Sus scrofa: one gene and its partner. The protein of the gene in region 1 interacts with the protein of each later gene in a pairwise test. Links are inferred from orthologs where the notes say so. Each region holds a gene or a part of one and is shown on either strand. Other genes may lie near its edges.

The links.
Region 2: the proteins of RAB3IL1 (region 1) and RAB11A interact in a two-hybrid assay, tested with the Homo sapiens proteins (2 studies listed by BioGRID and IntAct). The two-hybrid records come from large-scale screens. The link is inferred for Sus scrofa from reciprocal best matches to the Homo sapiens genes RAB3IL1 and RAB11A.

Annotation. Positions count from the first base shown.
Region 1 is NC_010444.4:9,591,783-9,599,172, reverse strand, and holds part of RAB3IL1 (guanine nucleotide exchange factor for Rab-3A), read right to left. Parts: coding exon 7,314-7,390; intron 6,543-7,313; coding exon 6,447-6,542; intron 6,350-6,446; coding exon 6,272-6,349; intron 5,611-6,271; coding exon 5,392-5,610; intron 4,271-5,391; coding exon 4,142-4,270; intron 4,011-4,141; coding exon 3,898-4,010; intron 3,622-3,897; coding exon 3,598-3,621; intron 2,567-3,597; coding exon 2,467-2,566; intron 974-2,466; coding exon 907-973; intron 255-906; coding exon 172-254; 3' UTR 1-171. UniProt on the Homo sapiens protein: Guanine nucleotide exchange factor (GEF) which may activate RAB3A, a GTPase that regulates synaptic vesicle exocytosis. Promotes the exchange of GDP to GTP, converting inactive GDP-bound Rab proteins into their active GTP-bound form.
Region 2 is NC_010443.5:163,862,968-163,870,780, reverse strand, and holds part of RAB11A (ras-related protein Rab-11A), read right to left. Parts: intron 5,142-7,813; coding exon 4,946-5,141; intron 4,713-4,945; coding exon 4,519-4,712; intron 1-4,518. UniProt on the Homo sapiens protein: The small GTPases Rab are key regulators of intracellular membrane trafficking, from the formation of transport vesicles to their fusion with membranes.

The DNA.
Region 1 (7,390 bases):
TTGTCCTGGGCTGGACGTTTGGTGCCGGCTCAGGTCTGCCTCCAAGGCCTGGCCATTTGTCCCTCTGTTCAGCTTCTGGCTCAGGGCCGGCTCCAGGACCCCATCTGTTTGTCTGTCCTGGCGCGGGCATTGGCTTCAGCTCAGAGCCCCCCTCCAGGCCTGGGCCGGGCCCTAGGCCTCCTGGGGGAAGAAACCGAGCTTGGCCAGCGACATCTCCTTCCGCAGCCTCGTGATCTCCCAGAACATGGGCTCCGCTGCAGGCAGAGAGGGTGGACAGCTCGGTGACCACTCAGGGTCACTTCAAGCAGATGGCCTGGCCCCTCCCCCAGCTTTGGGTAGGGCAGCTAACTGGGCACCCTAGGGCTCCCCAGTCCCCCAGGACAGATGACCTCAGCGAGTGGCTGGACCTCTTTGAGGTTCCACTGAGGCCTTGCAAACTGCTGAGGGCTGAACACCTGGAAGGGTCGGAGGTGACAGTCACCTCCACAGCCTGTCACGGACATGCATGTACACAGTGCCACACACTTGACAGGCTGCAAATCCTCTCCCACCCCATCTCCCTGGGCTCTCCAGTGACCCTGAGCAGAGAGGGCAGGGCACAGCAGTCAGTCCAGGGCCCTCAGAGCCCATTCCATGGCCTGGCATAATGGGGACAGAAGGACAATGGGTGGACAGAGGCCACCTGGAGGCCACTCTGAGAGGGGGGGGAGATTTACAGGATAGGCCCCGTCAGGTCAGGTCTTGAATGCCAGAAACAAGAACGCTGGCTCCACGGGCCCCCAGGCTGAGGTTTCTGAGCAGGAAAAAGTAACTGGGTCCAGGTGTGGGCGGCCAAGCCCGGGGGTTGGCCCCGCCCCGCCCCGCCCCCCCGCGCGCCACCCCCGATGGCCACCAGGGGGCGCTCACCGTCCTGGCGCACCAGGCCTTGCTGAATGTAGCGGATGTAGGTGAAGAAGTTGCACACGGCTGTGATCTGCGGACAGAGAAGGCAGAGCGTGACCTCGGCTCTCCACTCCCCGCCCAAAAAGAGGTCAGGGCAGATGGGAGAGCAGCCCAGGAAGCCCCGCGTCCCATCTAAGTCAGATAACGCTGGGCTCTAAAGTTATATTAATAGCAGCAATATTACTACTCCTAATTAAACACCATAATTGAAGCATCAATTACAAAATCCTTTCCTTACCCCCAGGTGACATTAAAAAAAAAAAAAAAAAAAAAGCTAGGAGTTCCCATCGTGGCGCAATGGAAACGAATCTAACTAGGAACCATGAGGTTGTGGGTTCATCCCTGGCCTCGCACAGTGGGTTAAGGATCCGGCGTTGCTGTGGCTGTGGTGTAAGCCAGCAGCTGTAGCTCCGATTCGACCCCTAGCCTGGGACCCTCCATATGCCACGGGGGTGGCCCTAAGAAAAAAAATGAAAAGGTAGTGCTAACTAACTAAGCATATGATAATTAAGTACATGTATCAGATGAGGCAGACATGCCTAATCATTCCCATTCTACACGTGGGGAGAACAGAGGCTCCAAGAACGACCTGACAACTGCAGGAGGTCATGGAGCTAATAAGCAGCGGAGCTGGAAAGTGAAACCCGGCAGAGTGCCTGGAATCCACACTCCCCCAAAGGGCGGCTTGCTCTGGATGCTGGAGGCCGGGCCAGCCAGGACTCATCAGGTGTCACTTGTAATGCCAGGAAAGATGAGGGGATCAGAAGCTACTCTTCTGGCTGTCCTGAACCCTCATGCCTGAAGTCCCCAGCCTGGCCTGAGGCCTGCTCTGCGCCAGGTCCTTTGCAGGGCACTGAGGATACCAGTGCTTTGGTGCTCTGCCCAAGCCTCTTCCCCAGGCTGGGGCCCCATCTCCCCATGGCAGAGTGTTGGCAGCTAATGGCTCATAGGTGCCCCCCTGCACCCCCTCCCCCTGCAGACCTCAGCCAACGACTGACTGGCCTCTGGGGTATAGAACCCCTCTTGCCTCAGGTTGGGGTTCACCTGAACACTAGTGTCACTCCCTTGATTAGGTTACATCAAATGACAGAGGTGATGGCTGTCACTCCCGTGATTACTTTTCAACAAGCAAGAAAGTGGCTACCTCAGTCCTTCAACCGCAAGGAACCAACTTCTGCCAACAGGCAGGTGAGCTCCGAGGCAGACTCTGATCTCCAGAAAGGATGCAGCCCCTGACACCCTGACAGCAGCCCGGGAGACCCTGAGCAGAGGACCCATCTGAGTTATGCCAAGACTCCCGACCCAGGGAGACGGGAGATAAAGGGTGCCACTAAGGTTATGATAATTTGTTATACCTCAATAGTGATCAGATGAATACACCTGGCTGGGCTGTGGCCCAAGTCACTCTCTGCCCCTCTCTGGGCCTGTCTCTCTATAGATCGAGGCTGTGCTCTCAGGCCTGGGGCCCAGAGTCCCAGGCCAGCAGCCCTAGGAACCCGGTAACACTGCTACTGGATGACTCACCCTGGCCCGGGAGGATGGCGAGATGTAGTAGTGGCTCTCGGAGTCCCCAAGCCGGATTCGGTGGCGACAGGCACAGACCAGCCCACTCAGGGCACATGTACTAGGGGAAAGCAGAGGGGGCTGTAGGGGCTGGCTGGGGCTCGCCCACCCGGCTCATGCAGGGAAGATGCAGCAGCCAGAAGGAGGCTGGGGTGGGGGGGCAAAAAGACCTCACCGTGGGGGCTGGCATCCTCTCCCCTGGTCCCAGCTTCCCCAAAAGCCTGGAGCCAGACCAAGGAGGAGGAAGTCCCAGAAGTCCCTGGGAGAGGCCTTTAAGCCAAGCTGGATCCCATTCTAAACCTTTCACTTCACTCACGTTGGATAGGAGCTTGGCCAACCCCATGCCAGGTGTACCAAAGCTCCACCCTCTATAGCCCCTAAAAATGGACCCTCTCAGACCAGGTCCCCCCTTCCCCCATCTAAGCAGGAGTCTCTACCCTTCTTCTCCATATTATAGCCAAGGGCTCCTCCAAAAACTCACATCTAGCCCATTATCTTTCCATGCTGCTTTCCTACTGCCTAGGAAATAGTTACGGAGATTCCCAAATAAAATTAGGTTAAATAGGGCTCCTTGGCTGCAGGACTTATCAGAGCCTTTGCTGCCTCTAGGTTCACTGTGACTCCTTGATTCGACCAGGGGACCCTCTTTTCAGGGAATATTTATTTATCAATGATTTTCGAAGTGCCACCCTAGTGGGTTAAAGCCCAAACCGCATTTGAGGCCCTTTACACACACTGGCTCCAAAACCCTCTGTGGCCTGAGCCCCAACTCTGTGCCCACCCACACCACCGCTCTGCTCACCCATCCAGCAGTGTTTCCATTAAGACTGCTTGTCATACTTTCACTCATTCATTTGCCTCTGCCTGAAAGGCCCTTCCCTGCTTGGCAAACTTCTACTCGTCCTTCAAAACCCGGCTCAAATGTCCCCTTGTGACAAGGCTCCCTCCATGGGGCCACAAGCCCTAGTCCCTACCCTTGCTCCATGCAGGCAGGTTTGCTCTGCCTCTAGCCTTGCTCAGTGCCAGCAGCAGAAGCAGAAAGAGGACAAGATGCCAGCGCCAGAGGTGGAACCAATAACTGACATCACTTACGTGTCAATCGGGGCCCGGAACCCACTGTGGGAGAGAGGAGTGGGAGAAGGATGTAAGTCAGGCCAGCCAGGAGCAGGGAGACCCCTGCTGCACGACTAAAGGCAGCAGTTTCTGCCCAGGATGCCTCCTTGCCCTGCATGGGGGCAGCCACTGTCCCTCTCTGGTCAAGGGCCTCTCCCACCCTCGGGTCCCATTCCAGGACCCAGCAGGCAGGCCTGAGGTTCATTGCTCCCTGGCCACCCCTTGGCGGAACCCAAGGCTTTCCCAGGGGGCAGGAAGGGTGCAGGGCGCTAAGCTTACTTGGCTCGGCCACACTCGACGGCGGCCACCTTCACCGCGGGCAGTGTCTGCGAAGCCACGGGCTCGATGGTGAGCGTGTTGTCCTCCACAGCAGCCCGGACCAGGGCCGAGAGCTGCGGCAGAGCAGGGCGGCGGGTGGGGCGGTGAGGGGCTGGCCTCCGGCTGAGGGGCTGAGGGGCTGGGACCCCCCCTCCTTGCCTCCCCCATCCCCTCCGACCTTCTGGCCGCCCTCTGCCCTCCTCACCTCCTGCATGGTGAAGTCCAAGCAGGGGCCCACGTCCTCCCGGTACACCCGTTCCAGGAACGGGCAGGTCTTGTCCAGGGTGGGTGATTCCCTCCAAGCCTGGAACTCTGCAAACAGGGTGGCATCCACCTGGGGAGAGGGTGAGCCGGGCGGAGAGGTCAGGGTGCTGGGGGCCAGCACGGCAGAGACAGGCAGAGAGCCCAAGGAGTGGGGAGCCAGGGAGGCTGCGGGGCAGGCCCCAGCAGGCCAGCAGGCCTGTCCCCTGTGGCCATGCAGGGAGAGTCACGTCCCAAAAAGGAACTTTCTCTTCCCTTTACACCAAAGAATTTAGAACTCAAAAAGTTTCACTTCTGGGTGCGTTTTTCAGTTTCTTGGCTCTAGAGATGACAGACGTGGGCCCCGGGGCCTCCTCCTGAAGCCCCCTCACTGCCTCCTTGAGGACAGGGAGTTGAAGAGTGACACTGGAGGGACCCACAGATGCACGCAGGGACCCACAGGTACACGCAGCGACGGGCACACAGAAGGGAACACACACAGGCCACTCTGGGAGGCGACGCAGTGGCCGCCACTGGGCACATGCAGAGCGAGAGGCTGGGAGGGGGCGGAGGGGGCGGCCCCTCTCTGGAGCCATTACCTGTCGGGAAAAGGAGAGAGAGGTAGCAGAGGTGGGGCCCACGGGCAGCTCCCCAGGCGGGAGCTGCCAGGCCGGCTCGTAGGTGAGGTGGACCGCCTTGCTGGGGACCACGCAGAGGAGCAGGGAGAGAAGTGGGGGCAGCCCGGGCTGGGCCGGCAGGGCAGACAGACAGACAGGTGCACAGAGACAGACAGAGGAAGGTGACGTTAGTGTCCCAGTCGGAAGCTTAGAGCTCAGAAGAGACCCAGGAAGCTGAATCCCATCACAGCCCCCATGGGCGTTCACTGGGTGCAGCACCCATGTCTCAGGAGGCCCCGCTCATAGGAGGAGACTGATGTGCCAACAGGGGACTTTTCTTGCTCAAGAACCCATGGCCAAGGGCATCACAGCCCACTGTCCTGCCTGGACCAGGTACCCCATGGACCCTCCTGAGGGCCAAGCATCTCATATGACAAGGAACCTGCTCAGTGCTTGTCACAGCCAGAGGACACAGAGGCCCAGGGAGGGTAGGACAGGCTCCTGGTCACACAGCGGGGGCCAAGCCGGGTCCCCAGCGGGCACTGCTGCCTGGCTGACAGTGGCACTGTCTCCTTTTATAGTTCCCGCTGTCCCTCACCTCTTTGCCTTCCTTGTCGGGGGTGAGGGCGTGTCCTGCAGCCGGGCACACGGCGGGGCAGAGGGCGCTGCTGGTGCTCTTATGGCGCAAGTGACCCTTGCGGGGTCCAGCCTTGGTGGAGCTGAGCAGCTGCGGGTGGAGCTCGCGGTTGGGAGAGGCTGGTGTGGACGTGATGACCAGTGTCTTCAAGGCTGTCACCTCTGCCTGCAGCATGTCGATCTGGCCGGGACGAGACAGCCATCAAGGTTAGACCAAGGCTGGTGCTGCCACCAGCTGCCAATGCCAGCTCAGGGCAGCCCGCCCTGCACCTAACCCCACTTGTTACCCTTGGAACAGCCTTTGAGGTGGGGGGGTTGAGATACCCATTTTGCTGAGAGGGAAACTGAGGCTCGGAGACGAGCCATGGCCTGGCTGAGGTCGCCCGGGAAGCCAGGGCGCCCCAGGGAAGCCAGTGGCTGAGGGACCCCCAGAAACCAGGAACAGCCCAGCCTGCCCGTTTTGCAGATGGGCAGATGGGCTCCGAGAGGTAAGGCAACTTGCCCAGGCTCACACAGCCAGACTGAGGCTTCTGCTCTGGAAAGGGGGGTATGGCAAGGAGGAAAAGAAATTACAAGGGTCGCAGGATCCTCCTGGCCCCAGAAAGTCCCCAAAAAGGTCTCTATGGTGCAGGAGAGACACAACCGGAGTTCTAAGGAGCTGGGCTCCCACCCCCGAGGTCATCTCAGATACCTCTGCCCCTTGCTTCTGGCCTCGATCTGCCCATCCGCTGCCCCCCACCCCCATGCACTCCAGGCCATGCAAGCGCTGGCCTTGGGTAGCGAAGGCCAGCGCTTGAGGGGTCGGGACTGGGACTGGAGGTCAGGGCTGGCCAGGGCCTCACCTTGCCTCGCGCCTCCTTCAGCTGCTTCTCTGAAGCCGCCTGCTTCATGTTGGCTTCTCGCACCATCTTGTGGGCTTCCTGGGCAAAGAGTGGGCTCTTTGTGAGTGGGGAGGGGGGAGGAGACCACGGACACCCCGCAGCCCCAAGTTTCCCAGCCTGCCCTCGGCCCCCGCACCTCGAATAAGCTGGCCGTCAGCTCCTCCAGCTCCTGCTCCAGCTGCTCCCGCACCTTGGACAGCCGCTCACACTCCTCATCCTTCAGCTTCAGCTCCTGGGGGGCCCAAGGGAGGGGCCCATCAGCCTCCTGGGGACCCACAGCCCTGGCGCTGGGGGAACCAGGCCCACCTGAGCAGGTGCTGTTCTTGGGTCATCTTATGGGGGCCTCAGGGCCCAGCTTGCTTCCTCTGCAACCCTACAGTTTTAGGGTGCATTTTCCTTGGGCTCATAGCATGAGGTTGAACCCCAGCTGTCAGTCTGTTAGAACTCGGGTTTCAGAAATGTCAAGTTTTTTTTTTTGTGGGGTTTTATGGTGTTTTTTTTTTTTTTTTTTTTTTTTTGTCTTTTGTCTTTTTAGGGCCACATGGCATATGGAGGTTCCCAGGCTAGAGGTCTAATTGGAGCTGCAGCTGCCGCCTACACCACAGCCGCAGCAACACCAGATCCTTAACCCACTAAGCAAGGCCAGGGATTGAACCCGCAACGTCACGGTTCCTCATCAGATTGTTTTCACTGCGCCATGATGGGAACTCTGGGGTTTTCTGGTCTTGCTCATAGTATGCCGTTAAGTTCCTGGACCAGTGATCGAACCTATGCCACAGCAGTGACAATGCCGGATCCTTAACCTGCCGAGCCACCAGGAAACTCCAAGACTTCTAAAAGTCACTTAAAAGCACAAGGACTGTCTCTCTTTTGTTTGTGCTGCCCTCATGCCCAGCAGAGGCCTGGCATGCAGATGGCCTTGACAAGTGTGTGACATCTCTGGGCTTTGCGTGAGAGCCCTCGGCTCCCCAGGCAGACCCCTGTCCCCATCCCCCATGCCCACCTTCTGGGCTTTGTGCAGCTCCTCTCTGAGGAACTCTGAGCCCTTCTCGCGGATCTCCATGGAAGAGCTGCGCAGGC
Region 2 (7,813 bases), on another chromosome or scaffold:
TTGTAAATGATTACCCTCATTGGGAGGGTTATCAAAACTCTAAGAATAATAAAGATCAGAGAGGATATAAATAAAATGTAGATTCTTAAAAAAACAGAAAAAAAGGAGTTCCTATTGAGGTGCCACGGAAACGAATCCAACTAGTATCCAACTAGTATCCGTGAGGATGTGGGCTGGATCCCTGGCCTCGCTCAGTAGGTTAAGGATCTGGTGTTACTGAGAGCTGTGGTGTAGGTCGAAGACGCAGCTTAGATCCCCTGCTGTTGTGAGTGTGGCACAGGCTAGCAGCAGCACGTCTGATTCAACCCCTAGCCTGGGAACTTCCATATGTCATGGGTGCAGCCCTTAAAGAAAAAAAAAAAAAAGAGAAAGAAAGAAAAAGAAAAATGGAGTTCCCTGGTGGCTCAGCAGGCTAAGGTTCCAGTGCTGTCACTGCTACAGCTCAGGTTGCTGGTGTGGCACAGGTTAGATCACTAACCCCTAAAAATAAATAAATAAATAAATAAAAATCTGTAAAACCAAGAGTTGGTTCTTTGAAAAAGGAAACAAAATTGAAAAACTTCTGGCCAGGCTCACCATGAAGAGAGAGAACCCAAACAAACAAAATAAGAATGAAAGAGGAATAATTACAACTGATACCACAGATATATAAAAAATCCTAAGAGAATGCTATGAACAATTATATACCAATAAATCAGAGAACCTAGAAGAAATAGACAAGTTTCTAGAAACATACAGCCCAACGAAACTGAATCAAGAATAAAAAGGCAATGTGAGCAGGCCAGTTACTCAAAATGAAATATAATCTGTAATCTTAAAAAAAAAAAAAAAAAAAAAAAAAACCCTCCATCCAAACAAAAGTCCAAGACCAGATGGCTTCAATGGGGAATTCTATCAAACATACAAAGAAGAACTTATACCAATTTTTCTCAAACTCTTCCAAAAGACTGAAGAGAAGACTCCCAAAGTCATTCTATCAAGCCACCATCACCCTGATAGCAAAACCAGACAAAGACACTACCAAAATAAAAATTTACAGACCAGTATCTTTGATGAGTATAGATGCACAATTTCTCAACAAAACATTGGCAAACCAAATCCAACAACACAGAAAAAACATCACACACCACAACCAAGTTGGCTTCATCCTAGGGTCATAAAGAGAGTTCAACATATACAAACCAATCAATGTGATCCACCACATCAACAAAAGACAAAAAACACACGATCATCTCAAAAGATGCAGAAAAAGCATTTGATACAATTCAATATCCATTCATGATTAAAAACTCTTAACGAAGTGGGTACAGAAGGAACATATCTCAACATAATAAAAGCTGAATGAACTTCTTTGCAGAACAGATACTGACTCACAGACTTTGAAAAACTTTTGGTTTCCAAAGGAGACAGTTCGGTGGGTTGGGGGATGTGCTGGGGTGGTGGGATGGAAAATCCTATAAAATTCGATTGTGATGATCATTGTACAACTATAAATGTAATAAGCTCATTGAGTAATAAAAAATAAACTAAGAAGGATTATGCAAAAAAAAAAAAAATAGTAAAAAGCTACTTACTACAAACCCACAGCTGACATAGTATTCAATGATGAAAAGCTGAAAGATTGGAACAAGACAAGGATGCCCACTCTCACCATGTCTATTCAACATAGTACACGAAGTCCTAGCCATGCCAATCAAACAAGAAAAAAGAAATGGATATTCAAATTGGAAAGGACGAGGTAAAACTGTCATTCTTTGCAGATGACAAGATACCATATATAGAAGACTTTAAAAACTTCACATGAGGGAGTTCCCGTCGTGGCGCAGTGGTTAGCGAATCCGACTAGGAACCATGAGGTTGCGGGTTCGGTCCCTGCCCTTGCTCAGTGGGTTAAGGATCCGGCATTGCCGTGAGCTGTGGTGTAGGTTGCAGACGCGGCTCGGATCCCGCGTTGCTGTGGCTCTGGCGTAGGCTGGTGGCTGCATCTCCGATTGGACCCCTAGCCTGGGAACCTCCATATGCCGTGGGAGCGGCCCAAGAAATAGCAAAAAGACAAAAAAAAATAAAATAAAATAAAAACTTCACATGAAAACTACTAGAACTGACAATTCCGCAATGAAGCAGGATACAAGATAACACACATTTCTTTAAACTAGCAAATAAATATTAGAAAGGGAAAGGTTTTTTTTAAAATATCTTTTAAAATCACATAAATAAAATAAAATAAAATACTTAGGAATAAACCTGACCAAAAAGGTAAAAGAGGTGTACACTGAGAGCAATAAAACATTAATAAAGGAAACTGAAAGGATTTATAGAAAAATATCCCATGCTCTTGGACTGGAAGAATTAATACTGTTAAAACAGCCACAGTGCCCAAAGCAATTTACAGATTTAATGCAATCCCTTTTAAATTACTCATGACATTTTTCATAGAACTAGAACAAATAATCCTAGAATTTACAAAGAACCATAAAAGACCCAGAATTGCCAAGCAATCCTAAGGAAAAAGAACAAAGCAGGAGGCATAAATCTCCCAGACCTCAGACAATACTACAAAGCTAGAGTAATCAAAACAGCATGGTATTGGCACAAAAACAGACATATGGATCATTAGAACAGAGATTCCAGAAATAAACTGTATGGTCACGTAATCTTCAACAAAGGAGGTAAGAATACACAGTGGGGAAAAGACAGTCTCTTCAGCAAGTGATGCTGGGAGAGCTGGACAGCTGTATGCAAATCAAAGACATTAGAACATACCCTCACACCATACACAAAAAATAAACCCAAAATGGCTTAAAGGCTTAAATATAAGACATGATACCATAAAACTCCTAGAAGAGAACATAGGCCAAACATTCTCTGACATAAACCATATCAATGTTTTCTTAGGTCAGTCTACCAAGGCAATATACATAAAAGCAAAAATAAACAAATGGGACTTAGACTTAAGAGCTTTTGCACAGCAAAGGAAACCATAAACAAAAAGACAACCTGGAATTTCCACTGTGGCACAACAGAATCAGCAGCATCTTGGAGTGCCAGGACACAGGTTCAATCCCCCACCCAGCACAATGGGTTAAAGGAGACCATGTTGGCCACAGCTGCAGCTTGGGTCACAACTGCAGCTGGGATCTGATCCCTGGCCCGGATACACTGCAGGCCAAAAAAGAAAAAAAGAAAAACAAAGACAGCCTATGGAATGGGAGAAAATATTTGAAAATGATGTGACTGATAAGGGATTCATTTCCAAAATATACAAATTTGTAACTCATATAACTCAATAACAGAAAACAAACAAAAAAACCCAATCAAAAAATGAACAGAAGACCTAAATTGACATTTCTCCAAAGAAGACACACAAATAGCCAATAGGCACATGAAAAGATGCTCAACATCTCTAATTATTAGAGAAATGCAAATCAAAATTACACTGAGGTACCACCTCACACTGGTCAGAATGGCCATCATTAAAATTTACAAATAACAAATGCTGGAGAGGGAGTGGAGAAAAGCAAACTTTCCTATACTGTTGATGGAAATGTAAATTAGTGCAATCATCATGGAGAACAGTATGAGCCTTGCAGCTCAGCAGGTTAAGAATCTGATATCCATGAGGATATGGGTTCGATCCCTGGCCCCACTCAGTGGGTTAAGGACCTGGTGTTGCCATGAGCCATGGTGTAGGTCACAGAAGCAGCTTGGATCCAGCACTGCTATGGCTATGGCACAGGCCTGCACCTACAGCTCCAAATTGACCCCTACCCCGGGAACTTCCATATGCCAAAGGTGCAGCCATAAAAAGAAAAAGGGAAAAGAAAAAAAATCTAAAAATAGAGTTACATATGATCCAGCAATCCCACTCCTGGGCATATATTCAAACAAAACTGTGATGTGAAGACACATGCACCTCTATGTTCACAATAGCACCATTTACAACAGCCAAGACATGGAAATAACAAAATGTCCACTGACAAATGAATGGATAAAGATGTGATGTGTGTGTATGTACACATACATACACATATAAAATGGAATATTACTCAGCCAAAAAGAATGAAATAACACCATTTACAGCTACATGGATAGACCTAATCATACTAAGTGAGGTAAATCAGAAAAAGAAAGACAAATACCATATGATATTACTTATATGTAGAATCTAAAATATGACAGAGGGAGTTCCCTTGTGGCATAGTGGGTTAAGAAGCCAGCATTGTCACTGCAGCAGCTCAGGTCACTGCCATGGTATGGGTTTGATCCCTGGTCCAGGAACTTCCATATGCCATGGATGCAGCCAAAAAAATAACATATAACACAAGTTAACTTATTTATGAAACAGAAACAGGCTCACAAACACATACAACAGACTTGAGGTTGCCAAAGGCAGGTGGATTGGAAGTTTGAGACTAGCAAGATGCAATTACATACAGAATGGATAAACAACAAGATCCTATTGCATAGCACAGGGGGAGAAATACAGAATCACTGTAATGTGGAATTCATATCACTAACCTGCAAAAGCTCTTGCTTCATCTGTAGGAACTGCCCTGAGATGACGCAAATCACTCTTATTGCCCACAAGCATGATAACAATGTTACTATCAGCATGATCTCTCAGTTCTTTCAGCCATCGTTCCACATTTTCATATGTGAGATGTTTAGCAATGTCATAAACCAATAAGGCACCTACAGCTCCACGATAGTATCTGAAAACAGAAACATGTATTTAACTACTAGCAAACAACCACAAGATAGAAGGGAATGCCAGAAAAGACTAAGTATAGAGATTTACATATTTTTTAAACATACTTACAAATTTTAAAATTGTAATAGTGGAATTCTTAAAAAGAAAACAAAATAGTACCTTTTTCCAATACCAAAAGTGAGCTAATTCACTTTGGCAGCGTATTTCACATAAGTTAAAAACTATGAAACTTACGCTGATGTTATAGCTCGGTATCGCTCTTGCCCTGCTGTGTCCCATATCTGTGCCTTTATTGTTTTCCCATCAACCTGGATGCTTCTTGTTGCAAACTCTACGCCAATGGTGCTCTTGCTTTCAAGATTAAACTCATTTCGAGTAAATCGAGACAGGAGATTACTCTTTCCAACACCAGAATCTCCAATAAGGACAACTGGAAAGACAAAGAACTTAATGTCACATGAATGCGGCAAACACAGAATACCACGTTTTAAAAGCAAAAAACTTTTTGCTTAAGGAGTCTGATTTTTAAATAGAGATGAGGGTTGGGGAGGAGCCGAGTAGCCCATGTTCTTGACCTGTTACCAACTGACAAAACCTAGTTATTCCTTTTAACCTGTTTCTACCTGCATGGTGACTTCCACACATCATTTGCCTAGTACAGATAATAGTATCCTGTCTTGCACATGCCGATTTTAACCATAGGTCTACTAGGCACTGATGACCAGCTAATGCATTAATTAACAATTAATGCTATACCAACCTTACCACCTTAGAAAGTAATAAACTTGAAAAGTCAATCTTAAGCCAAATGAACAATTTGTGATATTAAAATATCAGACATGAAAGCAACAATGGATAATAGCAGTGGTGAGCAGAGAAAGAATGAATATGTTCTACTCAGTTTCATCAAAGCCTGGGTGTGATCTCAGGACTCATATTTAGTCAAAATGAAACGCACTTAACATATGAGGCATCAATTTTATAAACTCTGCCACCAAGATCAAAGACAATGACCCTTTCACAGTTACACGTACCAAATTGGCAGGAAACTAGAGATCCCTTCAAAAACAAACACCCATAAGTTTAACAAGGGCCCTAGTGAGCTGACTGATAATTCTGAGTCAAGCCAAAACAAGGAGGATATATACACTTTCACTTACAACATAACCATCTAAAGAAAAAGATTTGATTAGATGAATTTATTTCCTATGATTACTATAGGAGACAGTTTATTTACTAGCTAAATATAGTGGATTCTTTTTCACCTAGAGTAAACAATGGGGATATAGGCAGTTAACTTGTTTTAAACCATTTCTACCTGAATTTTTTTTTAGGGCCACACTCACATATTTGGAAGTTCTCGGGCTAGGGGTCAAATCAGAACTGCAGCTGCCAGCCTACACCACAACCACAGTAACACCAGATCTGAGCTTTGTCTGACCTATATCACAGCCCACGGCAATGCTGGATCCTTAACCCACTGAGCAGGGCCAGGGATTGAACCCAAGTCTTCATGGATACTAATCAGGTTCGTTACCGCTGAGCCACAACAGGAACTCATCTACCTTAATTTAAACAACAAATGAGTTCACAGGTTTACAGAATCAGGGCTTGGTAACATTTTTTGCCCTTTGTAAAAATTTTAATCTGCATTTTAGAAAATATTATACTTATTCCCACTGTTGACTACTAATGCCTCTTCTTAGTTTTTACTAGCTAATTAGTTCAGGAAACAGGACTAGAAAATCAAACATGCAAGAATGACACACCACGCCTTACTAAAGATTTAGGATTTGGTGGGGGATGGGATTGGGGAGGGAAGTAACTGATAGCTCACTGCACTCAGGTCAGAGGGCAGACAGTCCCTTATGCATTCCTTCCTTGCCATGAAAGCAGACAGATGCTGGCCTCTGGACAGTCTAGAAGACAGTACATTATCAAATGCTTATCTTTCTGGCTTCCTCTATCAGCTGATTCAGCAAGAAATCATCCAGGCGCAGTAACTCAACGCCGCAAAATGTACTGTTATTTTTCATTACAGAGTCAATTAGAGGTGTCAAAGGCACTGTTGCACACAGAGATAATAGTAAATACTTTCCTTTAATTGGATGCCAGGGAAGAAGATGCTATGGTCATGAAAGTAACATAAAAATAACACATTTCCAATTTTACAGGATGGTTGGTTGACATGTTAGTTTCCAAGGTCCACTATTCTAAATGTGAGGTGAAATCTCAGTTTCAGTAAGAAAGTCTACCCTATTAGTAGAGTATATTCACTACTGCCTCTTAGTGCAAAAGGCTGGATGTCTTGCTGAGGAAATCTTTGAATCTTTTCTGGCCCCAAACCAGCACTGAGGTATAAAAGCCCTAGGTGACGAATGAATAGGAAAGATGGGGAAAACCAAAATGTTTAATGTTTCTACTCCATAGGCACTCAGACATATCAATCAGATATATCGATTTAGAAGCCAGTCATTTAGTTTAAAGCCAAAGGGCAACATATCTAGAATGACAATGCCTTTGGAAAATAAAATAAATAAATCAAAGAACACTTTCTCCATCCCACAAAAACTTTAATACTCTCGAAGTTTTGTTTTCTTGACTTTTGATCATTTTAACTAATGATTACATTCATTATCTCCCCATCCTCAAATCTTTTGGGGGGAGGGGGGGGTTAGGGCTTTTTAGTACTTGTGGCATGTGGAAGATTCCCCAGGCTAGGGGTCAAATGGGAGCTGCAGCTGCCGGCCTACATCACAGCTCACAGTAACACAGATCCTTAAGCCACTGAGCAAGGCCAGGGATCGAATCCACATCCTCATGAATACTAGTCAGGTTCTTAATCCACTGAGCCACAACAGGAACTCCCATCCTCAAAACTTCATGCCATTGTTAAGGATAGGTCATTTTTTTCCCTTGATGTAACCAATTCATTTTAAAATAAAAACGAGCACTCTTATCTGAAAAAATAAGTAATATAAATAAAGACGCATGTATACTTTATACAGTATAAAATAGTTATCTCAACTAGACCTGGACAAGGTTGCCAGAATTATGACTAGCAACTCATTAAAGGATTATATCTTAAATGACAACAAAAGA